Linked DNA regions of Notamacropus eugenii. The protein of the gene in region 3 purifies or fractionates together with the protein of the main gene of each other region. This does not show direct contact. Links are inferred from orthologs where the notes say so. Each region holds a gene or a part of one and is shown on either strand. Other genes may lie near its edges.

Region 1 (10,710 bases), on a different chromosome or scaffold from region 3:
ACTTCCCCCAGTAATACCAGTGACTATAAGTTCCTGGGACTTTTCTAAGTGTCTTTATCCTTATCTGCTTCTGTAAGAGAATTGGGCCAGTCACATAACCCCTTTGGGCCTCAGTTCCTTTGTTGTTAAGGAAAAAAACAACTAAAGACCAAATAGCTTATAAGGTCCCATCCAGCCAAAGGTCCATGAACTTAATTATGGTGCCATTTTTGGTTCTGTCTCCAAACTTCCACTTGACAGTACTGGCAGGTAGGGTCCTTAGAAAGCAATGACTATTTTCTCCTGAGGATTTTGAGGTTTCTCATTACCATTGTTCATGATCCTCCCCTCTCCCACCTCAGATTCTATCTGTGTGACCCAGGGCAAGTCATTTAATCTCTTTAATCCATTGGAGAAGGAAATTGCAAACTACTCCCAATATTTTAACAGCCCATGGACAGTACTGGGGTTCTGTGATCCACAGTGTCCCACACAGCTGGATTCAACTGAATGATTGAATAACAATTGAATAAGAAGGTATAGGAAGAATCACAGAAACAATATTGCACCTGCTGCCCCCAAAATAAGTGTTCTCTATCCTTGCACATACAAAATCCATGGGAAGATTGGGCCCAAACTTAAAGTATAGACAAACGAAAAGAGCATGTTGAACCTCAAGATTCCTGGCCCTGAGGTCCTTTTCTCCAATAGTGGAGTCCTCATGAAATTCTCCTGAGAAATAGCTCCCTGCTTGTCTCTGAGGATCAGTGCCTTTTTTGAATCCACAGCTGGTATTTCTATCATGAAACATAACAAACCCTGAACTACTACTACTGTCTTGCCACCTCTGTCATCAATGATTACCACTTCGTCAGATTCTGCTAGTGACTGATGGATTACCTGGTTACCTGGACCTCTCAGAATACTAATTTCCCTGAGACTAGGATAAAAAAATGCATGCAACAGAAAGAGAGGTGAGGTGCTTGCAAGCAACCACGTGAGAAACAAGGTAGCTGTCCTTACCACTACCTACCTCACAACAGTGCTATCCCACTTCCAGCCAAAGACAAAAAAGAGAGATCCAAGTCATGCTTTTTATGTGCAAATTCATTTTTGGTACAACGCTTCTTGAGTCATTAGTCCTTCTGGCTTCTCAGACAATTAGGAGACATGGTCATAGCACAGTAGCAGCTCCTCAATCATCTTGGTTAGAAACAGGCTTCCCAAAGTTGCCTGTGTTGGACTGGAACCAGGCAGGAATATCTGCATATACTCTGTAGTGTCTACCAGAAGGGTAAGTCCAAGCAAGCTCTAAAGACTTGAGTCCGCATTGACTAGTTTCCCTTTACATTATGAACATACAAACCTCAAGTTTGGTGATAAAAGGTTTGACCTTTTCACTCAGTATGTGAACATCTACCGCATGGGATCCTCAATCCTGTGAAACTTATAGTGTAGGTCTTAGTGTGGGCGCTAGGTGGTGCAGTGCATAGAGAACTTGTCCTGGAAACAAACTCCCCTTCCGGAGTTCAAATCTGGCCTCAGACACTTACTAGCTGTGTGACCCTGGGCAAGTCACTTAACTTCATTTGCCTCAGTTCCTCATCAGTGAAATGAGCTGGAGAAGGCAAATCACTCCAGTCTCTTTGCCAAGAAAATCCTAAATGGGGTCACAGTCACATGACTGAAAAAAGACTGAACAAATGTCTTAGTGTACATGTAAATTAGATTTGGTTGGTTGGTTGTTGTCCCTCGTTCTTGAAGAAGACCAAAATGACATCGTCATGATAAAGTAAAATTTCAGTGTGAACAACTATGGCTGATCAGACCAATATGAGCTTGGAATGTTCTACCATGGATTGGGCACAGATCATCTATATGAACATTTGATGTGGATACTCCAGATTTCTGCATCCTATGTTTCCTTTGTGCTGTCTCAATTCTGCTTTGCTCATAGAGCACAGTACCCTTTCTGATGTGGGTATGCTGAGTGGTCACAGTCAAACCCAAAGTTCTTGAGAGAGACCTTTACAATGTCTTTGTATCGCTTCTTCTGACCACCATGTGATTGCCTATCCCATAAAATAGTTGTTTTGGCAAGAGTACATTTTGCATTCAAACAACATGGCCAGCCCATTGGAGTTGGGCTCTCTGAAGCATAGTTTGAATACTTGTCAGTTCAGCTCGAGCAAAGACCTCAGTGTCTGGTACCTTATCCTGCCAGGTGATCCTCAGAATCTTCCTAAGACAGTTCAAATGGAAGTGATACAGTTTCCTGACATGGCAGTGACAGATTATCCATGTTTCACAGGCATACAACAATGAGGTCAGCACAACAGCTCTGTAGACCTTCAGTTTGGTAGTCAGTCTAATACCTCTTCTCTCCCCAACTTTTCTTCAGAGCCCCCCAAATACTGAGCTAGCTCTGGCAATGTGTGCATCAACCTCATTGTCAATGTGTATATTCCTGGAAAGTACACTACCAAGGTAAGTGAACTTACCCACAGCATTTGAAACTTCTCCATTTGTTGTAATTGATGGTTCCACATATGGATGGTGGTGGCTGATGGAGCACCTGTGTTTTCTTGGTGTTATTAGGCCAAAACTAGCATAGGCAGCAGAGAATTGATCCATACTTTGTTGCATCTCAGCTTCAGAGGTTGCATTGAGTGCACAATCATCTGCAAACAGAAAATCATGCACCACTACTCCCTCCCTTTTGGTCTTGGCTTGTAGCCTTTTCAAATTGAGGAACTTACCATCAGCATGGTAGTTGATGCTGATGCCATGTTCATCCTCATTGAAAGCATTTGACAACATGGCTGAAAACATTATGCTAAAAAGCATGGGAGCAAGCACACAGCCCTGTTTCACTCCACTGGTGACTGGGAAGGCACAAGAGCTTTGTCCATTATCCAGAATCCAGGCAAACATGCCATCATGAAACTGACGTACAATACTGATGAATTTCTCTGGGCAACCAAATTTTGACATAATTTTCTATAAGCCCTCATGACTAACAGTGTCAAAGGCCTTGGTTAGATCTACAAGTGTTGTATACAGACCTCTGTTCTGCTCCTGGCATTTCTCCTGGAGTTGTCGGGCAGCAAACACCATATTGACTGTTCCTTGGCCCTTTCTGAAGTCACATTGGCTTTCATGTATATGACCATCTTCCACATGAGGGCTCAGCTTATTAAGAAGGGCTCTAGCAAGAATTTTGCCAGCAATGACTAAGAGACAGATCCCCCTGTGATTGCTGCAGGACAATCTATTCCCTTTACCTTTATGGAGACGAAAAATGGAAGCATCCTTGAATTCCTGGGGGATAACCTTCTCTTGTCACATAACCTGGAAAATTTCAGTCAGCTTTTGTATGAGCAACGGTCCCCCTACCTTGTAAATCTCACCTGGAATAGAATCAGCACCAGGTGCTTTGCCACATGAAAGGAGCCTATGGTCCTCAAAACCTCTTTTTCAGTTGGAAGTTCAGCTAAAGAGGGATTGACTACAACCTGAGGTAAACTGTGGAAGTGTTCAGCCCATCTCTCTAGGATCACGTCCTTAGGTTTGGTAGAATAAGTTTCAAACCTAGACTCTGAAACCTGACAAAGGAACGCATATGTATATATATGCACACATATATGTATACACACATGTATTTATTTCCCCAGCGTGAGAATCTGCATTTTCTGTTAAAGGCAGCAATATCAATTCACTATTAAAAGCCTGTTTATAAGTAATATAATTTAACAGGCATGTGGTACACCAAAGATTTATATAAGTAGATAGTTTCCTGCAAATATACGTGTGGCAATGTCTGAATGCGTTCCTCTCCCAAATTCTAGTAAGGACAAATAAAAACTTTAGTAAAAATATAATAGCAATTACATATTACTAGTTTCTTTTACCACAAATTATATTAATTTAGATTTTTCCAAATGGGGGACGGAGATAGAAAGATCAGGACAGATTCTAACACAGAAAATATGCAAAATACAGTAAATTATTCCTATAGAAATAAATACATTCAACATAAATGCCCACTAAGACAATCCTTCTTGTAATATGTGAGAAGACAAAACAGTAGCAATTACATCATCTGCGGCAGCCAAAACTTATTAATTTCTAATGCTTTTCCCTTCGAACAATCATTATTTCTTGAATTGGCTGGCACATACAATGACGATTCAGACAGGACTCTTGCTAGTGGGAATTTCTCATAAGTTTACTGCTGATAGAAGTGGATACATTATGGAAGAAAAATACATAATTTGACAAAGGCCATTACTTAATGTTGTTGGGAACAGGAAGAGGAATAAAAAGTGGCCATCAATCATATACTAAGTGGGATATCAGTTGAAGATAACATATCACTACTTATAGTACATGTTATGAATACAATTTATTTTAAGAATTTATTGAAATAAAACATTTACTTTTATACAAGATCAACAGAACACTTTCTTTACAATACTTTGAGAGGGGTAGTACAAGTTTTATTATACCAATTTTGGCAAATTCTGATTTTTTTTTCCTTTACTGAGTGGGAAGAAGGAATCATTTCAGGTCAATTCCACTAAAAAGGTACCTCATTGCTTCCCTCCCTGTCCCTTACCACATCCTGCTTCTTGTGTATGGTGTGCCCCATGTCTGACCAAGCTCTAAGCACCTCACACCACCTGCTTCAGCCACCTTCATGGCCACTGCAACAAATTGTTCTCATTTGCCCATTCCACCAGGGGAAGTCTCTGCATGCTTGGGGTAGACACTCCCCCTAACTCATTGGCAGTTTTGAGGCTTTCTGGCCATCCTCAACCTGGTTTTTCCTCTCTGCTGACCAGGCTACTCAATCTCAGTTTCCTCTCCTGTAAAATGTGAATAATTGTTAACTGTGGAAATAAGATAACCAAACGTAGAAGTGATTTCACTGATAGAACAATTCGCTTCAACAACCCAATTCACAGTCATCTAGGTTCTTTCAAAAACTGGACAGACAGATATCTCACCCAATGTCTTACAGGCCCTTCTCCATCTCTCCTAAAGTTGACAGGGTTGTCCACTTGTCATCCTTCATTCTTGCCATACGAACAGCCTATCTTCTCTCCCATCATAGGGACTGGGATTTCATTGGTTTGGGGAATTCCCACTTAAGCGAACTTCCTCTACCAACACAGCCTGTTCCTTTCTCTGAAATGCAGAGCTGCCTAGAACAGTGTGAAAATCAGCTAGAAACAGAGCGCCACTAAACCTTCCCCGGGATCCCGGTAAGCTCCCTCCTGGTTGAGTTTCACAATGTGGTATTATGTCATTACAGTTTGTTAAATATTTCCCGATTCTGGCTGTGTCTGGCAGCGCTGTGGGTCACGTTGCCTGCCTCTCGTTTGACACCTCTAGCCTGGAATACTTAAAGTTTAAACGGCCTGGTCAAGCCAGGTTTTCCTGACTTTACGTGTATACGAGGCGGCTGGTGGCACAGTGGATAAAGCCCTGCGCCTAGAGTCAGGAAGCCCAGAGTTCAAATCCAGCCTCAGACACTTGAGCAAGTGTTTGCCAAGAACCTCTCAGGCCGGCCCTGGTGTGCTGGACCTGCCCGGAAGGTCCATCAGGGAACCTCAGATGCCCCTCGCTCCAGCCCCACGACACCCCTGACAAGCCCGTGCCTCAATGCCGCCCCGGAGCGCCCCGCTCCACTTTCGGACGGCTCTAGTTGTTAGCAAGCGTCCGGCATTCCTACCCAGGACGCCGGCAGGAGCCCAGGCCTCCCGGGCTGCTGAGCCCTGCGGACGGTTCGCTGCCCTCGGAGCCCTTCTCGGGGAGGCCGCAGAGCGCCTCCCCGCCCCCATCTTCTCGGGTCCGACATCCTCAGGGGCTCCAAAGGCGCGATCCAAACCCTGGGTCCGGGCGGTCCGGAGCCTCCCGGTGGCGCTCACTGCGAAGGCGGACTCCGCAGGAATGCCCCGGGTCAGCCCCGCCGCCACGCTTCCTCCGCCACTTCTCGGGACCATCCCGGGCCGGAGCCCCCAGGAAGAAGCGGCGTCCACGCATTCTCGTGGGTGAGCGTGCTTCCCACGGCGCGCCGCTCCTGCCCGAACTGGGACATCACTTTTCCGAGCCTGCTTCTCAGGCCTCGGGGGACGTTCGCGTCTGCTCCGGGGCGCTCCCACGACCGCTCGCACGGCCGCCAGGCAGCAGCCCGAGGGACTCGGGAGCTGCGGGAGAGCGCGTGCGCCAAAGCCCGTCGGGGCCCGTCGGCCCCGGGGGGCGCTCCCCCTCCCCCCCGTCCCGAGGGGCGCGAGCTCAGGGAGAGCCGTCGCGTGCCGCCGCTCGCGCATGCGCCGTTGGCAGAAGCCGTGAAGTGGCCGGCGGCGACTTCGGTTTCGTGGTGGGGTGACCACCCTGTGGCCGCCGGCCGGACGGGCGAAGCGCCGCCACCGAGGGCCCCCGCCCCGAGCACAGGTGCGTGACTTCGGCGGGGCGGAGGGGGGGACGGAGCGGCGGGCGGGGCGGGGGCGCAGGGGCGACGTCGGAGTTGTTAGAGGAGAGTCCGCTGGGAGCCGGGAGACGGGGGGAGGGAGGAATGGGGGAGGGGCCCTCCTGGGCCCCGGCGAGGGAGGAGGGCTTGAGTGCGCCCGGGGGGCCGGCCGGGCTCCCCCGCCGCCCCCCGCCTTTGCCTGGGACGTGAGGGGAGGGGGAGGGGGAGGGGGAGGGGGCCGGCCGGGGCTGGACGCGAGTCCGTTATAGCGGCGGTTACCATCTCCCGCCTCCGTGCCCGGGCGTTGGGCGCTCGAGCCCCGCGCGCCCCCGCCCTCGGGAAGAAGCGCGCGTCCCCGGAGCCAGGTACGCGGCAGGACGGGAGCCCCCACGGCGGGGGGCGGGGCGTGGAAGGGGCGCAGCCCGCCTGGGATCGGGACCTAGCCGGGGTCTGCTTGGCGCCGGCGGGGCGGAGACCCCCGGGCTCACCCTCTGAGGGGCCCGCCTCTCTGGGCCTTTCGTCTTCGCCGGCCCCAGGAGAGACTGGGGCTGGACCGCCGCGCCCCTCCCCCCTCCGCCGGGCCCTCGGGGGCAGTCCGAGCCCCCGCCGCAGGGCCCCCTTCACCCCCGCACCTTGTCGGCGCTCAGCCCTCGGGCCCGTCCTCTCCCCGGCCGGCGGCTCCGGTTCTGGCGTGACCCGGGCTCGGCGACCCCAGAGGCTGAGGGGGAGGTGCCTGAGTCCCGGCGCGCCCGGGAGAGTTCACCCTAACTTTAATCAGTGGCTCGAGTTAGGGGCGCGCCGGGCAGGAGGCGGCCTGCGGGGGGCGGTCCGCCCGCTCCTGGAGCCGGAGCCACGGTCCCGGGGGAGGGGCCGAGGGGCCGCTGCGGCTCGTCTGGGCTGACGTCGTGGGGTTAGACTCTAAGTCGGGGACGTTCTGTCCGGAGGAGGTGGCGGGCTCTTTGGAAGTGCATCGCTTGGTTTCAGCACTGAACAATTTTCTGTGCTTTTTCATTGCAAAATTAAAATTAAGTTACGGCAACCATTGCGACAGTACCTTGACAGGTGTCTGCTGAGACTGAAGATCTACGACTTGGTGATTTGGGCAGTTGTTGGATTTTTTTCCCGCGCTGTTGTTGGACTGAGTAACATGTTTGTTTTATCCATCCCCCCCTAAAGTACTTGTATCCCTTTTGAGAACTTTTTATTGATGAGTTCTTCCTAGCTCTGGATTACTTGGGTAGGTTCCCGTGCTGCCTCTTATAACTTATTTATTACCCGAATGACCTTGAGTAAGTCCATTCACCTCTGTAGAAGACTTTCTGAGAAGCCTTTTTCTAGTCCAGATCCATGGTCCCTTTGAACATTTTAAATAGAGTGAAAAGCTCTGCTTAGTAAATATTTATGAAATAAAAAGAAGCCGAACATGTGAGAGTGGACAAAACAGAGACTAGAAATAGTTATAAATATTGGAGCAAAAATCAGTTAACTCAGTGGCTGGCCAAATGTTGAATCATTCACGGAGTTTGCAGTTACAAAAGCCAAAAATTCTGTGACTTTGAAAGTTTGACTTGGAGATGGCGTTTTAGACCCATTGTGATCATGGTCCCTGGCTTGTGAGGAGGTGATTACACAAAGCATTTGTTTTATCTCGCTAGTTTACTTTGACATCCGACAATTCAGTTTATTTCCATGCGCTCATTTAAGGACAAACAGACCCTTTTTGTGGTAGGGTCCCCGGATGAAAAAAACAACTGATTATTCCTTTAGACGTTATCCTGGTGATCTTATCAGCTTTATTTTAATAGCCACCCTGTCTTCATGTCAGTAGGTTCGTGCCTGTTGTGTGACACAGTACATCTAGCAATCTCATCATCATGAATATTTGACATGCACAATGTCTTCATGTTTGCAAAGTGCTTTACATACATGATCTCATTTGAAGAATACCTCACAACTCTGAGTTAGATTTCTAAATGTGCAATATAGGGACTTTCTTTGCTGAGGAGAAGGCAGGATGAGAACTAAAAAGGAGGTATTGGGCCTAGTGAATTAAGGCCATTGTTGGGAACAATTTCAGGAAAGAAATGGTAAGACCAAGAACTTGAGAGTAGTGAGGCTGCAGGGACAAGTGTAGATGTGTAGACAACTCTTCAAGAAAAAATAGTAGATATGTGGACCTAGAAGCCAGAAATATTCCAATTCCGCCTTCAACATTAACACTTGTGTGACTCTGAAGTTTGTAAAAGGGGATTGTGTTTGCAGAAAAAAGATTATAAATGAGTTCTGTTTTAGACATGGTCATTTTGAGATATCTATGAAACATCCGCTATTGAGATGTCCAGAAGGCAGCTGGCAGTGGAAGGAGACTGGAGCTCATGAGAGAGGTTACTGCTGGGTATGTAGATATATGAATCATCTCCTTAGAAATTAATTGTTCATTGAACTCATGGATATCATCAGGCAAGATAGTGGAAGAGAAGACAACCAAGGACAGAGCTTTGGAGTAGCGGGGTGAGGGGGGAGAACCACACTCATGGTTATTGGGCATGACCCAAATGAAAATTCAGCAAAAAAGGTCTCTGGGAAGGAAGAGTTAGGTAGGTAGAGAACCACAGGAAAAAGTGACCTGAAAGCCTATAAGAGGGAAGAGTATGCAGAAATAAAAGGATGATTAATGACGTCAGAGGCTGCAGAGAGCTCAAGAAGGACATAGATTGAGAAAAGACAATGAATAGATTTGTCATGTAAGACTGTTCAAATCTTTGGGAATTGAATGTTGAGGTAAGAATGAGATTGCTCAGGGTTTTGAATCTATTGGAAGGAAAGGAAGTTGAGACAGCATATATAAACAGCATTTTCAAGAAGTTTAGACACCTCCTTTGACCTGAAACACCACTACTAGGTCTGGACCCCAAAAAGATAAAAGAAAAAGGACCTTTATGTACAAAAATACTGATAGCAGCAATTTCTGTGGTAGCAAAGAATTAGAAACTGAAGGAATGCCCATCCATCAGTTGGGGAAAAGCTAATTAATAAACAAGTTGTGGCATATGATTGTGATGGAATACTATTGTGCTGTAAGACAGAGAAGGGATTGATTTCAGAAAAATCAACTACTTTCTCAAAGTAGAACTTAGTCAATTAACCACAATTCTTGGGTTGTTATTCAGTTATTCAGTCAATTCTGAATCCACTTAATGCACTATTTAGCAGATCTAGGAAGGTAGAAAGCATAGGACCAAGGGTACAGATGGTGATATTTGCCTTATTAAGCAGTAAGTATTGCCAGGAAGAAGCAGGTGATAATGCTGAGAAATTTGGGTGAATGGAGGACAGAAGGCTAGGGGACTGAGTCCATGTTTAAGTCACCACAGTTTCTTTAAAGAATTAAGCTGCTGTCATCTTGTATAAGGGTGATGGCATAGATGGAGGAAAGAAAAAAAACTTTGAAATAGTTGAATGGATAAAGATAGAGTAGGATTGTCAACATCAGTTCAGGCCAAGCTAAAGTTATGTATCATAACTTTTGTAGTGTATTCTAGAGTCATTTTACATTGTCTTTGGTTTTATACTTAATAATTCCTTCAAAGTAATTTTTTTCTTGTTCAGTGTATAGATTTACTTATCCACCATTTCCCATCTAATGTTTATCTCTTATCTGTTTCATGGTGTCAGGGTTACTTTGGTCTCTCTCTACTGTATTTTGGCCATCATTTTTGTTTGCAAACATTCAGGTGCTGTATATTACTATCGTTGCTATTGTCTACGTTGCTCACCTCTTTTCTGACCTTTTAAATCTAGGTTTTTGGTGTAATTTGAATATTTATCTAAATAAATATCTAAATATTTACACACTTAATTTGGCTTCTGGTATATGTATCTCTCAATTTATTGACCTTTGCTATGTTGGTATATAAAATTAATTTTCTTAGTCATTTATATTTTAAAAATAAAGCTGCGTCTCATTTTTTATTGAGCTAAATGGGAAAGTTTTGGCAAGTAAGTTGCTAAAATGGATATAGTTTATTTATAGCACATTTACTAAGTGCTGTAATACTTTAGTAAAGGCATTCTTATCAGGAGTTATGCGTCCTCAAATCACTTCACTTTGGGGAATCTAAATAACACTTTACTTCACTTCTTAAAAAAAATTCTAAAGTAGGGAAGGGGCATCAGGAATCAGCTGGACCACAATTAATTGTTTTATATTCACATGGCAAGTTCCATGACCTAATATGATTTACATTTATGAATAT
Region 2 (10,813 bases), on a different chromosome or scaffold from region 3:
TTAAAGTATTATAGGTAACAACTAACAGAGCTGGGATTGAAACCTGAGTCCTAAGACAACAAAGAGTCTTTTCTCTAGTCTATATCATGCTTCTTCTAATGTATATAAGATGGTCACTATACAATATATTCTACATTCCATTATTTTATTATGGAAAATTAGAATAGGGATAGAATAGAGAATTTAAGAGCTACAAGTGTTCTTAGAGATCCTCCTTGACTTTGCATACATTCCATATCTGGAATGCCCTCCCTCCTCACCTTCAAATCAGGGAATTCCAGCTTCCTTCCAAGCACCACTGAGGTTCCCTTTACTACATGAGACCTTTGCTGATGCTCCCAGTTGTTTGTACTTATTTCCTTTGGAAATTATTTATCTATTACTTTATATAGTCTTTGCATTTATATATATATGCATATATACATGTGTGAATATGTACATATGTATATACCTACACATACATAGGTATATATACTGTATATACATATGTGCATATATCATGCGTGTGTGTATGTACACACACATATTCCCTTGAGGTTAGGTACTATTTTAGCATTTTGTCTTTTTACCTTCCTGCCTCACACAACATCTTGTACATAGTAGGCTTACTCTGAATTCAACTGAATTAATGGAATGAACCTCCACATTTATAAGGCTCAGAGAGACTGGGTGAATTACCCAAGGTCATAGAACTATTTAGAGGCATCCTAGACTCCAGGTCTCTGGGATTTCAGTTCAGTGTTTTCTCTAACACCCCATTTCTTTGTTTACATTTCCGAGAGGTCTTTAATTTTCTGTCCTCTTCATTCCCCATTTCTCAGCCAAGTAATTAACATGTAAAAGGACTGAGGGAACTATTTCAAGGCATCCCAGTATTGATGGAGGGCTTTTGAAATGCAAATAATCATCTTCTAAATTTTTTTTATTTGCTAACTTGGTCAATTTTCTTAAAACCTGGTAATCATACCTTATGTCCTGGGGAATGGGCTATACCCTACACAGAGAATTCTTCAAAAAATTGTATTACCTTTAAAATAGTTTTCTTAATTGAAAAAGTTATCTTTTCATTCATCTTTTTTTTCCTGCCTCTGTTTTCTCTTAATTTCTCTTTATCTTTAGTCTTTCATCTCTTACTTATGGATTTCCTTATCTCTCCTGCCTCTCTTGGGCTCTGTTCTTTTCCCAAGTCAAGGTCATCTAAAGGCCCCAGAATTTGGTACCAGGTAGCGAGCCATCAGAGTGGGAATTGGGAGATCTAGACTTTATTGCTGGCTCTGTTCACTTGACCTTGTGACCTCGGGCAAGTCACCTTTGTGGACCTCAGTTTCTTAATCTGCAAAATAAAGAAGTTGAATTGAATACTTTTTAAAGGCCCAAGTCCAGCATGCATTTTAAACTCTTCAATATTCTATGATCTAAGTAGTTTACAAAGCTTCATCCCACCCTATGGACTAGCGAAATAAGATGAAGATTTTCTTTCAAACTCAGACTAAAACACCTTATCCCTTAGGCTATTTCTGGTGCCCTATGGCTAAATATGGTCATAGAGCCATATTTAGAGATGGAAGGAACCTTAGAGGCTCCTTAGTTTAACTCCTACATTTTACAGATAAGAAAACTGAAGTCCAGGAAGGTTGACTTACCCAAGGTCATAAAAGGTAGTTGGGTAAGGATTTGAACCCACATTCCTTGATTTCAAATATCTCACTCAGGCGGTGCATTGTCTCCCTTATATATATGTCTAACACAAATGGAAATTCCCCTCCCTCCGAAAGCCTAGACCTGGGATCTCAGATGAATAGAGCAGGTCTCAAGCTGGAGAGAACCTATGCATTTACTTCCAGCGAGAGAATAAGAATGCCCAACTCAGTGAAAATGTTGTCTGGGGGATGATGAAAAATTCCACTCACAGAGCTCCTGTCCCTTGGGGCAAGTTAGAAATGTCAAGTTAGGCCCAAGGAGAAAGCACCCAAGTCTAATGAAAGGAAACAGTCTCCTGAGTTTCAGCCCCGTGCCTGTGCTCAGACGTTTAAATGCATCCAGGAGCCAGGGAGGAGAGCAGTCTCTCAGCCCTAAGGCCGCAGATCGCCACACCCACTCTCAGAGCTGTCAATGTGCTTGGTCCCTCACACAGGCACAAGATATCAAACAACGTAGCTATGAAGAAGAAATCTGGATCAGTCTAGAAGGATAAGATGTTGAGTTCTGGGAGAGGCTGGGCATGAGAGACACACCTTTCACATAGTTCATGGATGCTCTTAGCTGAAAGGGGATCACAGGCCCTATCTTGGCCAGGAGTGTGACCTATTCCATGTAAATGCAGATACACCTCCTTTCTCAGATTGAGGAACCACATTGAAAACCAAACTAAACACTCATCCTACCCATAGCTCCACTTCAGTAAGTATCATCAAAGATCAGAGATGGAAGGAAACCTAGAAGGAAAAACTAGCTTAACCTCTGAAATTTACAGATGAGGAAAGAGGCCCAGAAGGGTTAAGTTACCCAAGGTCACACAGCTAGTAGGGCCTAGGACTAGAACCTAAGGGCCCCCCGAAATCTCAGGTCAGTGCTCTTTCTACACATTCCTCTCCTACCCCTACCCCCACTACCTCTTGCTCCCTTTCTCTTGGCCTGTGACTTCTGAAACCTCCCTGGTCATTCTCCACCAGAAAATTGCCTCTTAGAGACCAAGAGCCAAATAGAGGGGCAGCCCCTCCTGTGGCATAGCAGGAAAGAGAAGCAGCAGGTTCCGCCCGTCATCCCTAGTCAGGTCTGGTAGACTGGCTGCTTCCTTCTCCTTCTCCCTCTTCCTCCCTGCCCCCTCCCCTGGAGATTTTTTTTTCTCTGTTATTTATGATGAGAGATGGCAGGAAAGAATGACACGTTCACACACTTGGTGGAAGGACCAGGGTGTGTCTCTTCTCTCCTTTCTTTGCAGAACCAAAGCGGCACAAACCTCTTGGGAGTAGTCTGACTTTCTCCACCTGATGTCCCCCCACCCCCCCAAAAAAATCCCTCTCCTCCTCCAGTCTTCCTCGGGGCACCTCTAGCGAGAAGCCTGAGAGGTAAGAAACAATCAGTCTCACCGTCATCACCTGAGGACCCCCTCCCTAGCAAATAAACACAAGACTAGAAGAGATGGCCAATACTAGAATCTTCTATGCCCAGTTTGAGGTGAGAGGCAAGGCATTAATATTGAAGCTACTTCCTCGAACCCCAGTCTCTCCAATCTTCCTGGAAGAGCAGAAGCATTAGCAAGTTTCGTGGCCCCCCCTTTTCTTTCCCTGAAACCAATTTTGACTTGGGGGGGGGGTGTTCATATTCTTCTTCTGCCTTCTGCAGCTTTCTCCCATGCCCAGAAGCAGCCACGCTTGAGATCCCGGCGGTGCCACTCGCACACTGCCCACCGTTCCACGTAGGGGCACAGTTCCAACCATCTAAGTCTCCAACACGCCGCCCTCCCCCACCTTCCCCCCAAAGCAGACGGGGTGCACCCCAGAGCCCAAGTCCTGGTGTAGGAATAAAAGGCAATCGGGCTGCCTGCCCCAAGCCCACTCCCTCCCCGGTCCGAGCAGAGCCCACCCAGTATTGCGTGCAGCACTAGCTGCCGCACTATGCAAAGCGATCGCCAGATCCGGAGCCCATTTCCAGACTCCAGCCTCAATCAGTCGCCCGGCTGAAGCATCTTCCTGCCCTCCCTCCGTCTGCCCCCACCTCCACGGCCACCCTGGTGCCCAGGGGCCACTCTAAGTGTTTTATTTCCTTTGTGTGTGGGCGGGGGGGGGGGCAGGGTAAGGTGTGGGGTGGGGATGGGGGGGGCGAGGATGAAGGGAAGGTGTGCACTACAACTGCAGGGAGGTTGAGGGATGGAAGGGAGTGGGAGAGAATCCAAAGTGGCACCAGACTTAGCCTCCAACCCTGGCAAATAAACCAGCTACTCACCGCTTTGCTCCCCCAGGAAGACCAATTTGAATTTTCTCAATGGGTTCCCAAAATCTCCTCCTGCGGACATGGTGTTGGCTCTGGGGTGTGGGAAAAGGAGGAGAAGGAGTAGGAGCGAGAGGAGGAATAGAGAGGGGAGGACTGTGAAGAGGAGGAAAGGGATGAGGAGGAGGAGGGAAGAGAGGCAGGCTACGATCCAGAAGGGGGAAGGGCTGGATGCAAGCGTCGCCGGCTCTGCAGCTTCCCCCGGTCCCCTGACTCGGGCTGCGCTGCGGAGGAAGGGGTGGAGGAGAATGCGGAGGACGACTCAGGATGCCGCCCGCGCGGGCTGCAGAGCTGGAGGGAGGGCGCGAGGTGTCGGAGCGCCGACCGTCTGAGCACAGGGCTGGGGATGCTGAGGCGGTGTGATCTCGGCGAGCCGGGGGCTGGAGCTTCTCCCCTCCCCACCTCCAGCGCCTGCGCCCTGTCGGCTCTCTCCCATCCTCTCTGATGTCATGCAGGACCGACAAGCCAATGCAGTGCTGCAGGGAGGCTTTGCCTAATGCATCTGAAAGGAGCGGGGGATGGCTGGGGTCACTGTCTCACCAGCCGCCCCTGCTGCCGCCCCTGCTAGAGGAGGCAACGCGCCCTGGACGACGGGGCGAGCAGAGTGCCCTGATCCTTCACCCCTTACCGCCTCGCTCCCACCCTCCCCCTTTGAGCCCAGAAAGGGCTAAGAGAGTGGGACAGAGATATTTATTTCCTACAATGTCAAGCTAAATCTATCTGCATTACTCCAGATCAAAGGGGAAGAAGCCCATGAATTAAACACCAATATACACCACAGCTGAGTCCATCTAGGAGAGAAAATGGAGTGAGAGAGAGAGAGAGAGAGAGAGAGAGAGAGAGAGAGAGAGAGAGAGAGAGAGAGAGAGAGAGAGAGACTGAAGGGGAGAGGTTATTCCTTCCACTCTAGACATCTCCAGCCTCCACCCTTTTCTCCACACAATGCTGAGGAAAGATAAGGTCACTAGTTAGAAGTATGCTGCACAACAGCTCCAAAACCAGAAGCAATTTTTAAAATCTAAATCTCATATAATCACTTGGAAACATGAAAAGTAGGGGATGGAGAGGGAGTGATTGCTAAAAGGTAGATAAATCCAAGAGTACTCAACTCCACCACCTGACGATGTGGCTCACACAAAATTCTACCATCTTTCAGAAAATAATTTGCGTTGGAGTTCTTGAATCTCAGAGTCCAGGGTCTGAGAGCTCCAAAGATGATCTAGTCCTCTTTCTCTTACTGCCAGACAAGAATGTTCCTAACCCTGCCTAGAGAGAAGAAATGGTGTTTGTCTTTCAAGGTCCCCAGTGGAGATTAAAATGGCTTCTTCGATTGTCCGTTCTAGTGACTGATGGGCCATCATTCCCCAGAAGATACTTCCCCCTATGACCTGAATATCTCCTCACCACCCAGTTCTTGGACGTCCTGCTTTCTCTGGAGCATGAAGCTTCCAGCAAAACAATCCAGGTTTGGGCTGACGGAATTAACAAAAGGAAGAGGAGACTCCTCTGGCAGAATTTTCTCCCATCTTAGAGTGCTTGGCCTGTTCTTTCTCAGCGTTCTTTCCAGAATATAACATAGAGATCAGTGAGCTAGAGAAAGGTCATTGAGAACAATCTTTCATCAGCTCACTGTGAGGTACCAAGCAACATCCAAGATGGACTTGAGAACAGTGCCCTGACAAGTGTTGGCTTTGATGAAATAACATTGCCACCCATCTCCCTCCTCCTGAGTCCTGTGCTTAGTGCCTCCTCAAAAGTACACAATGCTTTCAATAGTGTCCCTAGACCCTCTTATTGCCGAAGAAACACTTTTATATTTCAGTGGATCTGTGATGTCATCAATATAGGCATTCCCTCTGTCACAGCAGGTCTCTCACCTTCTGTGCCTTCTCACCTTGATACAGTTCTAGTCCATTTCTCCCAAAGATTCTCCTAAAAGAATTCCCTTAATGTGCTGTAGGTCTTCATGTGTTTTGAACCTGCTTTGTGTTACAGAATTCTTGGGCAGTCTGGTAAAGCATATCCCTTCTCAGAATGAGATGTTTTTAAATGCATAAAATAAAATGCATAGGATTACCAAGAAAACCAATTCTATGGAAATATAGTTATCAAAATGTTTTCAAAAATTAAGTTTGTGGACATTCAGGTTAAGAACTGCTCTAGACTTTTTTTTTTCACATTTCTTGGGTAACAATGGAGAACTGTTCATCTGTTGTATGCCACACATGAACATCCTGCCTTCTTGTCTGATCACACATTTTTCCAATAATATCCCTCATGGCACTTGAACAGAGATTGTCTTTGGAAATAGGTTTCAACCCACTTGCATACACCAAGCAGCTCTCTAGCTCTATAGTGAAATGAAATTTTGATTCTTTGGAGTTCATGCTGGTCCAATATTGGCAATCATGTACTATCGCCAACAGACCGTGTAGTTTGCTTGTTTATTCTATAATGATTGCTCTTTGTGTCAGGAAGCAGCTTGGATTGTTAATAGCTCTGTTCTGTTCATTTTTCACTCACTAAACTTTGTCAGCAATCATTTATTAAGAACCTACTATGTGCCGGAGAGTGTTTTAAGCACTAGACTCATTTAGTTTAAGGCTAATATCCTTTGAATACATTTTGAGAAAGCCCCTCTGATGATCTGAAGCTTGATATCATCTGCAAACAGAAGTGTCTGGAGGAATTCGCTGTCCACATGGAATCCCTCTTCTGTTTGGACATAGAGCTAAGTATTGCCTGTGACAGTGGTGAGAAACTGGTGAGTATACATTTTCCTGTGCTATGCCTCTCTTGACATACAAGAGAGTTAGGGAACAAAGTTATGTCTGTGGTGGCATTTATGAAGGAATCTTTTATGACCATAATATACACATGAGAGATTTTTGGTTGAAGGAAATTCTTTAAGGCTAAGTTTTGCTCTAGTATAGAGCAATTTTTATTGTAACCAACGAACAATAAACGTAGCAGAACCTTGTATATTTTGACCCTTTCTGTCACTTATGCTACTGTAACGTGTTCTCTTGCAGACTACCATTTGTGAAAGGCTGACTGTTCCTCTTGCATATTTTCATCAAGAATAACCTTGATATATGGTCCTCATTCTCATAAACATTTTATAAAGATGAGAAAGTAAGAATATAGGTCAGGAGTTATTGATGTTTTTTCATTCACCTATTTTGGAGAAATAATAATGTCCATGACTTTTATTCCCATTCTTTTGGTATCTTCTCCTCCCTGAGATATCTTATAAAACAATTTCTTATTGCTGTCAAGATTCTATTACTTCCAGCATGAATTTGTTTTGTGTGTACTTCTTCTGGCCTAGTTGATCTTTTCAACTTTATTTTCTAAAGTGCAATTTCAACTTTTTATATATTGTACCAGGCACCAAGATGATAGGGAACAAATATGGTGATTCTCTGTCATTGATGAAAAAGATGGTGTTATAGAAACATTGGCAGATTTCTTCCATTTTCTATTGGTTTAATATTCTCCTAATTTCATCTATCAATGCTGTTGGGATGATGTGGTTCACTTGGGTCTCACATCAGGCTTTCTAATAGAGAATAATTTTCACTTTCATGGCTTTTCTTTGCTTTATGAGGGGGGAAAACATCAATAAAAGATTTGAGAATTATGATACACACCATGACTTGAAAGTTGGAGCAGTATGCTTCCCATCTTCTGTCAAGAAGGTGGTGGACTATAAGTATAGAAAAAGGCATATATTTTTCAGACATTGCCATTGTGTTAATTACTTTTGTTTAATTAAATTTTTGTTACAAGAGATGATTCTAATGGGGGGGGCATGTTGTATGAGGGAGTAATAATTGGGAAGTCACAGTAATGAAAGAAAAAGGAGCATGAGTAAAGTATTTCTTTTTTAAAAGAAGCATAAGGAATGTCATCAAGGAGAAATATCTATAAAAGAAGCCATGCTGGTCATGTTGTTCTAGTTCAGGATAATAGATAGATCATCTGAGTTCTATATTGTACCATCTAAATGTAGAAAGACTTACAGGATGTGTTCAGCATATTGACAGGAATCTCTGAGGAAGGATCATGGAAGAATGTGGATAAGAATTCCACAGGACCAGAAGTCACAGATGTTTTGTGGTCTGTACCACAGATCCAATACCAATACTTCCATCAATGAGATATTTCTATTGAATTATTGAAGAAGGTGTCAATGATTTCATAGGTTATCCTGCTTCTAGAGGAATTATTTTTTTTAAAGAGGAAGACAGATTGACCCAAACGAACACATATGTAATGGTAGAATTTCAGCAACCAGGTGGGAGAACTGTTTAGAGGTAAAGAAGGGGAGAGAACTTTTCAGCAAACCAAAATCACAATACCTACTCTTCAAGTTGATTCTTTATCTTCACTTGCATCAAATACTGTGTTCAGTTCTAGGTACTATTTTAGGATAATAATAAGTTGGAATAAATCCAGGAGAGGATAGATTGATAGACAGATAGGTAGATAGGTGATAGATAGATAGATAGATAGATAGATAGATAGATAGATAGATAGACATAGAGATCTCCTTCCTCTCACTGAGCAATTAAAAAATTAAATATAATACTCTTAGAACAAATGCATAATATATTCCAACAAAAGAAACTCCCACATTATTCATGTCAAAAATGTCTTACCTACATTTTAAGTCCATCACCTCTCTGGCAGGAGACGAATGGCATCTTTCATCTTTAGCCCTTTGAACCTGTGGTTTCTCTTTGCATTGATTAGGGTTCTAAAGTCTTTCACAATTGTTTTTCTCTATAATGTGTGATTATGTTCTATTTATGTTCATTTCTTTCTTCATCATTTTGTACAAGTCGTCCTAGGTTCCTCTGAAACTCTCATCCATCATTTCTTATATTACAGTAGTATCCTAACATATTCATATTTTGCTTAGCCATTCCCCAGTTGATGGGAACCTTCTTATTTTCCAGTTCTTCGCCATGAGAAGGGTTGCTATAAATATCTTTATACATATAAGATCTTTTCTTCTTGCTTTAATTTCCTTAGGGTATAGCCCAGTAGTCACATAGCTAGGTCAAAGGATATGGCCGGCTTAATATCTTTATGGGCATAACTCCAAATTGCTTCCAGAATGGCTGGGTCAATTCACAGCTTCAGTAACAGTGCATCAGTGTGCCTGTCTTCTTGCGGCCCATCCAACATTTGTCATTTTCTTCATGTGTCACCTTTGCCCTCTGATGGGCAGGAGGTTGAAGCTCAGAGTTGCTTTAATTTGCATTTTGCTAATTATTAGTGCTTTGGACCATTTTTAATATCGTTATTGACAGCTTGGATTCTTTCAAAGCTGTCTGTTCATATCCTGAAGCTATTTATCTATTGAAAAAGCTTACATTCTAATGACAGAAGATAATACATTAAGGGGTCCTGGAAGAGGGAAGGAGAAGAAGAAAAGGGTACCTGCTTGGAACCATGATGAGATGTCTGTGAAGTATTGTAGCGGCCTGGGCCCCATCAAAATAAGGTAAAACTCACTTTTTAGAAAATCTGAATGATTAGGGGACTTGAAATGACTCTGTGTGTCGTAAGTATAAGCTATGAGTTGATCGAAAGGACTAGACTGAAAAGTTGATTGAAGGGACTAGAGATGTTTAAGCTGGGAAAGAGAAAACTAGAGATGGGGCATGATTATGTTGTTTGTTGTTTAGTTGTTTTCAGTCGTATGTTACTTTTTTGTTACTCTTTTGGGGGTATTCTTGGCAAAGACACTGGATTTGTCATTTCCTTCTCCAGCTCACTTTACAGATGAGGGAACTCATCTATTAAGTGACTTGCCTACGGTCACACAGCTAGTAAGTGTCTAAGGTCAGATTTGAACTCAGGAAGAGGAGTCTTCCTGATTCCAAGAGCGGTGTTTTATATACTATACCACCAAGCTGTCTTTAAATATTTAAATTAAAAAATTAGATAAATATTTAAATAAATATTAAATATATTTAAACATTTAAATTTAAATGTGAAGGAAGGCTTAGACTTGTTTTGTTTAACCCTAGAAGACAGAAATAGAAGCAATAGATGGAATTGATAGAGGCAGATTTTTACTCAATATAAGACTGTAAGTGACATCTGCTATCATCTTCCCATACAACCCCAAATACTACTCCTTTTGGGGGGGGGGCAAGTATGTGAAGCAGTGGATATAGTGCTAGGCTTGGAGTCAGGATGACTCACCTTCTTGAGTTCAAATCTGGTCTCAGACACTTACTAGCTATGTGACTTTGGGCAAGTCACTTCCCTCTGTTTATCTAAGTTTTTTCATCTGTAAAATGAGCTGGAGAAGAAAATGGCAAACCACTTCGTATCTTTGCCAAGAAAACTCCATACAGGGTCACAGAGAGTCAGACATAACTGAAACAACTGAACAACAACAACCCCTTTTTTGAGCATCTTTCCTACCAAATATAACATAACTCCCACCACAACCATTTTTGATTATCCTTAGTTTTTCTCATAAGGCTTAGACCATTCTGAGCCTCAACACTCATGCCATTATTACTGTATTGTGATATTCTTTTGGATGCATCATCTGTTATATAACTTTTCTTCCATCTTCTGTACATACTCAAATGGATCTGTGATTTCGTTCATTTGAAAATTCCTTCCAATAATTCAATCAACAATCTCCTCCGTGTCTGCCCATCCTGTGTAACTCTAACCATGTCCTGTTTTAAGCTTACCACAAGGGGTCTACCCACCAAACCAAAGGCCTCCCTCTAGACATCACTAGAATACTTATACTCTGGTTACCCACATATCATCCTTCACTCTTTTC
Region 3 (10,574 bases):
GTGTTGGTCCAAAATGAATCTGCCACTGATGAGAAAATTGCTTTGTGAAGAAAAAGTATAAGAGGATTGTTCCAATTTTATATAAATACATAATTTTATGTAGTTTTATAAATCATAATATTTTATATATTAATTAGTAAATTATATAAACATATATTTTTTTCCCTGAATCAAAAATTCAGACCTCAAACCTGTTTTAAACTGACTGTCTCATAAATTCTATTGCAAAAGGATAGAAAATCCCCTCTTGGATCTCACTTCCTGACCAGCTCTGCCAAGAAGCTTTAGGAACAGGCAAACTACCCTTCAGTCTTTGAAGATGAGAAGGCAAGTTGCTGAAGTGGATCAGAATAGGTAGTGACATTAGGGATGATGACTTGAGTTGGGGACTTTTATAATTTAACCTGCAAGCAGTGAGTTCTCAGTTTTCTAGTTGGAGACTTTGCTGTGATCAACATGCTTGACTTTATTTTCCTCATACAAAAAAAACCCAGGAATAATGCTATCCTATATTTTTTCGTGGGGACTTTTGTATAGATACTCAAGGCTTTTCCCCAAAGTATTCACTTATATAGAGTAGCAGTATACTTTTAGATTATGACATCTGCAGAGTTGGGAGGAGGCAACTACGTTCAGCTACGTTTTTTCAAAAAGGAAAAAAACCCTAATGGAAATGAATTTGTATATATGTGTACACATAAATATACACTATATGTATGGCTCTCTCCCTAGACTATCTCCCCAACTTGCAATCACAGTTTGGTTTCTCTGGAAATAACCACCTATTCAAAGTACTCCATGAGTCTGCTCCTTTTGAAACTACAACTCAAAACTCAAAAAAAAAAAAAAGTGTGCTTACTTGTAGTCAATCAGAGGAAATGAAATGACACAATAAGGACAGTAGCAATTTATCTCATAAACCTAGAGCATTCAATTTCATAAATCTTAAACAGGAAGAGTAGATGTCCATAGAGTTCTAAAATGGAGAGGCACATATATAAAGGAACACGTGGCATGTGCAAGGACAGGGAATTCATGACTAATTCTGCAGGTAACAAGTCTAATAGTATTCATCTACATTTGGATACCAATCAGTTTATAATCTATTGACACAGCCTTCAAGAACCCTATGTGCTACGTATACGTATACCCTATATACAGAGTAGATATGTACATATCTATTTGGTCTAGACCTGTGATTTCTTCTACTTAGGTAACTGCTGGTGTAAAAAGATGTCTCCACTGGTGCAGGATCAGCAACAGGCACATGGCATTGTTCAGTCTCACCTGATCCTCAGTGACCCCATTTGGGGTTTTCTTGCCAAAGATGCTGGAGTGGTTTGCCATTTCCTTCTCCAGTTCATTTTACAGGTGAAGAAACTGAGGCAAACAGGGTGAAGTGATTTACTATTTGAATTCACAAAGATGAGTTCTTGACTCTAGCATTCCATCCACTTCACCACGTAGCTACAATTAAATTGAATAGAGTATGAGATTTTGGGGAGCAGTATCATTTTCCATTTCCATAGTCCCACTGAGAGGCAGTATAGCATAACAAACTTATAGGTGTTATGGAGTCAGGAAGACTTCATGTACTGCCTGAAACACACTGACTTCACATCAAGTTACTTAACCTGACAATGTGTCCCAGTCAACTTTCTAAGCCTATTATCAGTTGCTAATGTTTTGGTACGGGGCATTTCCATTCTTCACACTGATGAAATCGGTTCAGAGTGCTTCCCATCCCCACCCCCTAAAAAAAATCCCTTAGTCAAACAAGGCCCTGTATGCCACAGGTCCTTAAAAATGTTTGTTGAATTGATCAAAGAATGAGAACTGGATAGCGTCAGCAACTTGCCTCTACCATTCACCAGCTGTATGACCTTGAGGTAACAATTTCTCCAAGTCTGTTCGTACTTTTGTAAAATGGGAATGATAAGGCTTGCCCTATTTATTGTGTAGCCTACTGAGCACATAATCATATGTGTGAAGGCACTTTGTACCCTGTCAAGTGCTATACAAATGTAAAGCACTATCAGAAATAAGTTAGTGATATATTCAAATAAAGCTCTTAATCAGGAAAAAGCAGTCTAGACACCTTATCTCTGGGAGCTGACTTCACAGCAACCCTAGCTGAAGGGACATGTTAACCTTTTGGGAAATCAAGGGCTTCCAAGTCCCTACAATTTTGTGATTGGAAGTCTAAAATGGGTCAGAGCTGTGTGCAGCTTGGAAGCAGGCCAGAAAATAGTGCTGTGGGACAGAATGGAGAATTGAAAGCTATATGAAAGATGATTAGCTTCAACATTAAATGGGAATTCCATTCTCTAAATTGCAATAATCTCTTTCTCTTTCCTACATGGCTGCTTAAGTATTAAAGAGCTGGACTCTGAGGTTTTGTGGGTCATTTGGAAATAAGAGTAGGGTTTCCCTGGCTTAAACTTTAATTGCAAAAGTATTACTAAATCTGGATGTATACATTAATTTATTCCCAGGGCTGTTTGCTTAATGCAATCCTGCCTAAACCAAATGTGAGGAGGAATGACTCAAAGCTGGCCTGAAAAGTGCAAAAGTAGTCATTCACTGGTATCTGAGAACATTTAACATTCTAATAAGCCAAATAACACCCAAATGAGTCTATTTATGTCAATCTACATTTATTGACCACCATGAAAAGTCACATACCTTAAGACAAGTATTTAGGTGGCATTATGGAAAAAGCCCAGAGCTAGGAGTTATCAGATCTAGTGTCCCTTCCAACTCTTAAAATTATTAATTCTGCTACTGAAAATATATTCCTCCAACAGTAAGCAAAGTAGGATCTTTTGCTGTTTGACTTTTGGACAATCAAATACCTTTGATTGAGTCTTGCCTTTGATTGAATCAATCAAGAGTCTTTGATTAGAAACTATATATATATTCTAGAGACAAAGCAGAGCTAAGACAAAAGGGACTGTGAGGGGGCTAGGGGAACTTGCTTATGGGGAGGCCTAACAGAAAGCATGTTTGTGATGTTGGAGCTCTGTTGGTCTGTGTTGATTTCTCTGACAGAAGTCCTGTCCGTTGGTCTGTGTTAATTCCTCTGAAAGAAGCCCTGTCTGTTGATCTGTGCTAATTTCTCAGACAGGAGCCCTGGCTGTTGGTCTTCATGAGTGAATTGAGATGATGGCACTAGTAATGTGTATAAATATGGTTATAGGCCTGTTAAGCCTTGCTTCCTAGAAACAAAAGCTGGGAGGCAGGAGCCCCTGGTGCCTATCAGGCAGAAACAGGAAAAGTTTGGAGTGGAACAGTTCCCATGAGCTGAAACAAGGAGCAGGCACAGAGAGCTGCCTGCATGTGAGCCCAGGCAAGAGCTGGGAGTGGTCAGCCCATAGAGAAGGAGGGTTTGGAAGTCAACCTCGAGTCAAGATAAGAAAGGACTTCACTTGGACACTTGGTATTAAGAAGATTGTTCTTACTGTGACCTAGGGGTGGCTAGTGTGGTATTTTGAAGAAAATACTGGAGCAGCTAGGTGGTACAGTGGACAGAGCACCAGTGCAGGAGTCAGGAGGACATGAGTTCAAATCTCACCTCAGACACTTGGCACTCACTAGCTGTGTGACCTTGGGCAAGTCACTTAATCCCAACTGCCTCATCCTGGGTCATCTCCAGTTATCCTGATGAATATCTGGTCACTGGATTCAGATGGCTCTAGGGGACAAGTAAGGCTGGTGACCTGCACAGCCCTCCCTCACTCAAAAAAAAAACCAGTCAAGTGCAAGTCTTGTCATTATTTCTCTGACGGTATGGCCTTCTTCAGCATCAAAGGACAAACACACACAATACTCAGACACTTGTTATTGATTAAGGATGTTGCTATTGTTACGATATGCGTATCAGATGATCTGTTTTGCTTAAGCATGTTTAGCTTATTGCTAAATAGAGTTCATTATACTATGTGATTAGACTGTTAAAATCATTCACAGCAGCAGTTCTCAAGTGCACGGAAGTGATTGGCTTTACAATCCTTACTCCCCACAGAATTTAAGATCTAATTTGGGCCGTCAGGTTATAATACTTACAAACAACAATAAAAGTTAACTGTGCAAACCATTATTTCCAATACTCATCTTGAGGGTCCTATGCTTTAGGATTAAGTCTCTAATAACATTTCCCCAGACAACACCAAACAGGCTAATGTTAAAAATTAGGAGCTTTCAACGGTGTGTCCTTCTCAGGCTATTTTCAAGGTACATTTTCCTTTTTTCACTTTACCTCCACACATGCTGCCAAACAAAGATCAAAAGTCATTATGAGGAAGGCACAGAAAATATTGCTTTCAGCGGTTCTTCAATAAGTATTGGAAGAAGTTCTGGCTTTGGCTGGGCAGCTGGAAGACTTCAGATTTCAATCAGTGCCCTCTGACCGTCAGTCTCCTCATCTGTAGGATGTCTTGAAGAGCCTTAGAAACCTCCTCCAGCACTTGTACCTCTGAGGACACTCTGGGTCACAGGGGGCAGAGCTAGGATGGAACCCCGGCGGACCTCCAAATCACCAGGCCTCCGAGATTAAATGAGATTAAATGAGATTCGCTCCAGCTCTCAGATCCTGCGAGGTCTTCATGTGGCTCTCCTGCACCAGCTGGGTGACCTTGGACACGTCACTTCCCGAACCTGCCGGACCGAACGACCTCCAAGGAGTCTGATAAAGCCCATGACCTGGCCCGGCAGAAAGCAGGAATCGCTATGGATCTTTCCAGAGCATGGCAGAAGCACGGATCGAGAGGGAAGGGGCCCTCAAATGCCATCTACTCCGGCTGCCTTGTTCTACAGTTCGGGAAACCGAGGCCCGGAGGGGCTCAGGGTTACAGGGGGTCACCCGCAGGGGGTCACCCGCAGGGTCTGAACCCGGATCCTTTGGCCCCACAATCCGGAAGGACCCTTAAAAGCCATCGGGTCCAACCGCTTCACTTCACAGGAAACCGAGGCCCAAAGGGGCTGACTGACTTGTGGAAGGTTCTCTTTCCGGTCTGATTTCCGCCGCCCCCCCCCCCCCATTTCCTCCGAGGTCCCCCTCCCTGCCCCCACACAAGTCAGCTCCGCCACCCTCGCTAGGCCCACGCCGAGGGCTGCGGGGCAGGGTCCAGCAGGACGCCCGCTAGGGGGCGCGCCGACCCCGGCCCGTGGTCCTGCAGCCTCCGAGAAGGGCAGCGGGGCGGAAGTGCACCGGGCGGGGCTCGGGGCGGGGCTCTTCCGCCCTTCGGAACGTTCCCCGCGGCTTCGCAGCACGCTCTGTCTCTGCCCGTTAGCCTCGATCTGAAGCCGCTCGAAGGGGGGGGGGGGGGGGGGGGGGAGGGGAAAGGCTGCGGCGGCTCGAGCCCACGCCCGGCGAGGGGGAGGGGGAGGGAGAGGTTGCGGGGGGGCGGGGCTCCGGCAGAAGGCTGCGCGCGCCCCTCTCCCCTCTTCGTTCCCCCCGCCTCCCCCGGCGCGTCAGCCGCGTCAAGCCCCGCCTCCTTAGCCCTAATTTGCCGCGGCTGAAACAGTTACCCGTCTAGTAAACAACCGCTGCGCGCGCATCCTACATCAGCTGGGCTCCTGTGATCTCAGCACCTGATAGAAAGATCCTCCTCTGGTTCCTCTTCCTCCTCCCCCTTCTCCTCCTCCTCCTCCTCCTCCTCCTCGCCCTTTCCTCCATCCTCTCCTCTCTCGGAAGCCGAGGACAACCTGCGTTGTCATCTCCTCCTCTGCCCGAGACCCGAGGGGACACGCGCGACCGTGTCTGGCGGAGGAAGGCCGGCGAGGGGCTGAGCTGTGCCAGAGCCTTGGTAGGGGGAGGAAGTCTCCTGGGAGAGGAAGGGGGCCCTGTCCTAGCACCGGCGGGAGCAGCCCAGTGAGTGACCGGTCGGCGGCTCGACCGATGACTGGGGACGATCTGCCTGCCACATCCTTGAGCCGCAGCCTGGGCTGGGTCTGCCCGCTCTCTCTTGTCTGCCAGACCCCGGTGTGACCGCGCTGCCTGGAGAACAACGGGCAGCTGCCCCCGCACGCCCCTCTGCAGCTGGGCACCTCTGGAATCCTCTCTGCTCCTTGGCCCCCTCTTCCTCATCCTTTCCTCCTCCTCCTCTGCCTCTCACATCCATCTCCTTCACCTCCTCCATCAAAGTGGTGTGGGATATTTCTCCCGTTATGCATGCGCACCTTTTTCACCAGACCCAAGTGGATTATCTGCCTCAAAAACGTCGGGTGTCGGTGCACACGCCTCCCCTCTGCCAGACCTGTGGGGTATTCACCTGATACACAACAGGTGGCTGGGTGCACACCTCTTGGTATCCAGATCCATGCTATGTTCACCTGATAACGGTGGTCCTGCACGTTTCCTCCGCAACTAGAACCCTGGGCTACTCACCTGATAAACGACTACCTCAGCCAGAACCTGGGGGAGAGTGAGGGGGCAGAAGGGTAGTGTCACTTCCCAAAACAGAGACTATGGCTGGGAGCCTTCAACGTAGGGCCAAGGGAGCTCTCTAGATATCTACTCATTCTGAAGGAACGAGGTCCCACACAATTGGCGTTATTTTCTTCCCCTAGTGATTTGTGTATTTGGCTAGTGCTCTGGGACAGTTTTCTGATTAGGAATATTCTTTATTTTGGTTGGTTTGTGATTGTTTCAAGAATTGAGTTTATTATTACTAACGTCAAGATTAAAAGTAATCTGCATAAGAGGAAGGATTTTTTTGTTTTGTTTTGCTATTTTCTTGTTCTTTAAAAAAAAAAAATGCATCCTCCAGAAACCACCACCAAGATGGCTTCAGTTCGGTTTATGGTGACACCAACAAAGATCGATGACATTCCAGGTTTGTCAGACACTAGCCCGGATCTCAGCTCTCGGTCCAGTTCCCGTGTTCGGTTTAGCTCCAGGGAAAGTGTGCCTGAAACCAGCCGTAGTGAGCCCATGAGTGAAATGTCAGGGGCAACCACCTCACTGGCAACCATAGCTGTGGATGCAGCCAGTGATCGGACCTCCAACCCCCGAGATGTTACTGAAGGTAAGTGAAAGAAGTGAGAAGGATACATTTGTAGCTATCACGTTCAACCAGGATGCTGACCAGTTGCGAAGGGATTTTCCACTAAGTAGTATTTAGGTGAGATTGATACTCATTTATTAACAGAACCATAGAAAGCCTTCATTGTGAAGGAAATGTGGAGCTTTGAGGCCATTGGCCTTGTGGACATAAGTATCCAGTTATATAAAATACTGTTGTTCATGTAGCAAACTGTTTGAGTTCTGTATTTTTCTCAAGAGTAATTGAAAAGATGTTTCTGTTTTCTGCTTAAGAGAAGATAGGTATTAGCTAATTTTTCTTTTTTTATCCTAAAGAATGCTTGGTTGTGAAATCCAGGAGGTTGTACTTGTCTTTAGGACTGGTTAAGTAATGATCGTATTTTGGATTTATAAGTTGCCTTTCCTCCAGAGGGTTCAGAATGCTATTATATAGTATAATATTATTTACCTTCCAGTATTTTCTAAGCAGTTCTTATTTTCCAGAAAGGCTGGCATGCCAAGTGCTTGCACAAGGTCATGTAGGGTTACAGATGATAGTCGTTACTGCTCAATTCTAGACCATCGTTTCTCAAAGCAGAGAGTTCTGAAGGAACTGTAGATTACCCTTTAAATAACAGATGAGCCTTATTGACTTTCCTCCCTCCTCATATTAGTGCACAGGTCATATATAGCTTGTACTTCATAGGTTTTCTTTTCTTCTTCCTAGTATTATGGGTTGTACTTCTTTGTGTTTTCTTATTTGTTATAGGGGAAAGGAGTGAAGAAGGAAGTGAAAATGACAAGAGGTTACAGTAGTGCTAAAAAAAAAAAAGTTATCAACTAGAAAAGTTTGAGAACCGCTGTACTGTGCTGCCCTGGGTCTCCATTGTTTGTTGTATATTAACTAGATCGGAGCTTTTCAATGAAGTTTCTTAAAGATAGCTGTTTTTTTGTTTTAAGATAGTTATTTTAAAATACTTTACTGTAATTTGAATCATAGGCACCAGCCTATGATTGAATTGTGTAAACTTCTGAAAGAGGGGCTGTTTTGTCATTTTTGTGTGTGTTCAGAAATGTTATTCTGAAGAAAAGATGGGGTAATGATTTTACTTGTTAATTCGGTTGTTTTTTTTTCTCTAAACAAGAGAAGATTGGTTTATTTCAATCACAGAATTTGTTTATCCTTGATTAACTCAACTTCTGTGGGGATGTTACAGTGAGGGGTTGATAATTTTGAACTATAAAATGTAAGATTTAGGCATTGTAATAAAGTTTTTGAAATCAGCTACCTAATGGAGTTCATATTATTAGCTTTTTAAAATGTATTTTCTATTGTTTTTTTGTCCTTTATCCATCATACTATATTCAGGTTTGTAAGTCTAAATAAGGGACCTTGTGGGCTTACAAATTAATGGTGCTCAATAAAGTTTGAATATATCTTGTGACTAAGTAAAATGCTTATTTACTGTGTAGCTCAGTGTTGAATTACATTCCATAAATTTTTATCAATTGCATTATAAAGTATAACTGTCACCTTAACCAGATTTTTTTTCAGTAGTTTGTCATGGTTGCAGAACTATATGTCTTTTTCAGGATGCTGTTATTAACATAGCTTTGAATGTTCTTTAACAAGCAATAGTACATGTCATTGGTTTTCATATTATGGATGCAGAATTAGAAAAATGAGTGACACCCAAATCACACTCGGTGTGAGTATGGAATTTATAGCATAACTCTCTGAGAGTATTTCACTGTAATTTCAGTCATCCTAATCTACTTCAATATATGAGGAATTACCCTGTTCTATGTCTTTAAAATGTTTGAAAAATCTAATGATTAGATTTTTATATTCTCCTTTTTCCTAAACACTAGCTTTCTATTTTATCCAACAATTTTTTTCTTTATTCATGGGGATCTTTATTGTGATAGTCACCCAGTACAAATTTTCCTACTTACTTGAATGTCCTGTGTGTATTCTTCGGGGTGGTAGTAGAGTAAAACAAAGCAAAAAAATCTAACATTGTCCTTGGTACAAACTTGGTATAAAAGTCACCAAACTTTTATTACTTGCCTGGTATATACAGAGCACTATGTTTGGTGCACAGGGGAAATACAAAATTTTCATAAACCATGTTGTCTTTCTGTTAGAACTTATAGTCTGGTAGGGAAATATGACATCTACAATGTCAGTAATACAAATTAATACATGATAAGACTACATGGTGTGGAGGAAAGAGCCATCTTTAGTCAGGAATAACTGTTCTCAAGTCCCAGTTCTGACATACGCTGACTTTGTGAACTGGATCAAGTCATTTAACCAATCATATCTCAAGCCACTCTAAAATTGTAAGTTGAATAACATCTGCAAGTTTGTATTAGTAAAGGGAATACTCCCTGTACCTATAAAATCACAGATTAGAACCAAAACTCCAATATATGATAAAGACATAAAAAAGAACTATTTGAGGTCCTTCAGGAAGGAAAGGTCATCAATAACTAGTGTTCAGTTGTAGTATTTGAGTTGGGCTTTAATCAAAGAGAGTAGAACACAAGATAATACCAGATTCCAGGAATGGTGAACAAAGTCAAGGAGACATAAAAACAAATGGGATGGCAAGTAGTCTACTTTGGCCAGAGCTTAGAATAGATGTGGGGAAGCAATATAAGAAAAGGCAAGGAAGGTAGGGATATGCCGTATTTGGAATGGCCTTAGGTGCCGGACCATTGAATCACAGCTACGTTTCTATCATATACCAGCTGCATGACCTCAATCAAGGCTCTTAGAATACCTAAATTTCACTTTCCTCAGCTATAAAATAGAGATAATTACACTTGTGTGAACTACCTTAGACATTAGTTTTGAGGTTCAAATGAGAGAATATACCTGATCTGCATAGTAAACTTTTTTTACTGTTTTTTTCAGTTAATAAAATTATATTTTTTCTCACTTAGATCTACCCCCCCCAACAACAACAACAAAAAAGGAAAATCTTTGTAATAGATATGAATAGACGAAAAAAACAAACTCCTCTATGGGCTATGTTCAAAAAAACTATCTCATTCTCCACCTGGAATCTCTCAGTTTCGTTGTCAGGAGATGGGTAGGAGATGGCATGCTTCATCAGTGTTGGTTACTACACTGATCAGAATTCTTAAGTCTTTCAAAGTTGTTTCTCTTTACCGTGTTCTTAGTAACCTTTACAGCACCATACAAACGTAAACTGCTGTTTTCATTATTAACCTCAGTAACCTCAACTCCCTTCAGATCAACTAAAATCTATTTAAAATTTAGACTTTTTTTAATTCTGTGAATTTTTTTTGCCCTTTTTATTTCCCTAATTTTTCCATTGCTCTGTCATTGTAGGATTCTACTCCTTTCTTATAAATTTCACAATTTACCAAAGAATTTCTCCTGTGATAGAACTTCCCTATCTACACTTCTAGTTGCTGGGAAGCTTATTCATATTTGCCTTATGTATTTATTTTTGAGTTACAGGTAAAAATTTTAATATTCATTCCTGTATCTTAATTTTTTATCTTGCTGTTATCC

Evidence for each region. Proteins that work in one complex are often made in the same cells at the same time.
Region 1: the proteins of SLC12A6 (region 3) and CLGN purify together in Homo sapiens (affinity purification with mass spectrometry; 3 studies listed by BioGRID and IntAct, with this or other methods). This does not show direct contact. The link is inferred for Notamacropus eugenii from reciprocal best matches to the Homo sapiens genes SLC12A6 and CLGN.
Region 2: the proteins of SLC12A6 (region 3) and RAB6B purify together in Homo sapiens (affinity purification with mass spectrometry; 4 studies listed by BioGRID and IntAct, with this or other methods). This does not show direct contact. The link is inferred for Notamacropus eugenii from reciprocal best matches to the Homo sapiens genes SLC12A6 and RAB6B.

Annotation. Positions count from the first base shown.
Region 1 is NC_092877.1:137,226,728-137,237,437, reverse strand, and holds the start of CLGN (calmegin), read left to right. Parts: upstream 1-6,319; 5' UTR 6,320-6,438; intron 6,439-6,727; exon of another isoform or gene 6,728-6,819; intron 6,820-10,710. UniProt on the Homo sapiens protein: Functions during spermatogenesis as a chaperone for a range of client proteins that are important for sperm adhesion onto the egg zona pellucida and for subsequent penetration of the zona pellucida.
Region 2 is NC_092876.1:334,780,694-334,791,506, reverse strand, and holds the start of RAB6B (ras-related protein Rab-6B), read right to left. Parts: upstream 4,392-10,813; 5' UTR 4,016-4,391; coding exon 3,946-4,015; intron 1-3,945. UniProt on the Homo sapiens protein: The small GTPases Rab are key regulators of intracellular membrane trafficking, from the formation of transport vesicles to their fusion with membranes. Rabs cycle between active GTP-bound and inactive GDP-bound states.
Region 3 is NC_092878.1:17,215,829-17,226,402, forward strand, and holds the start of SLC12A6 (solute carrier family 12 member 6), read left to right. Parts: upstream 1-6,628; 5' UTR 6,629-6,757; coding exon 6,758-7,028; intron 7,029-10,574.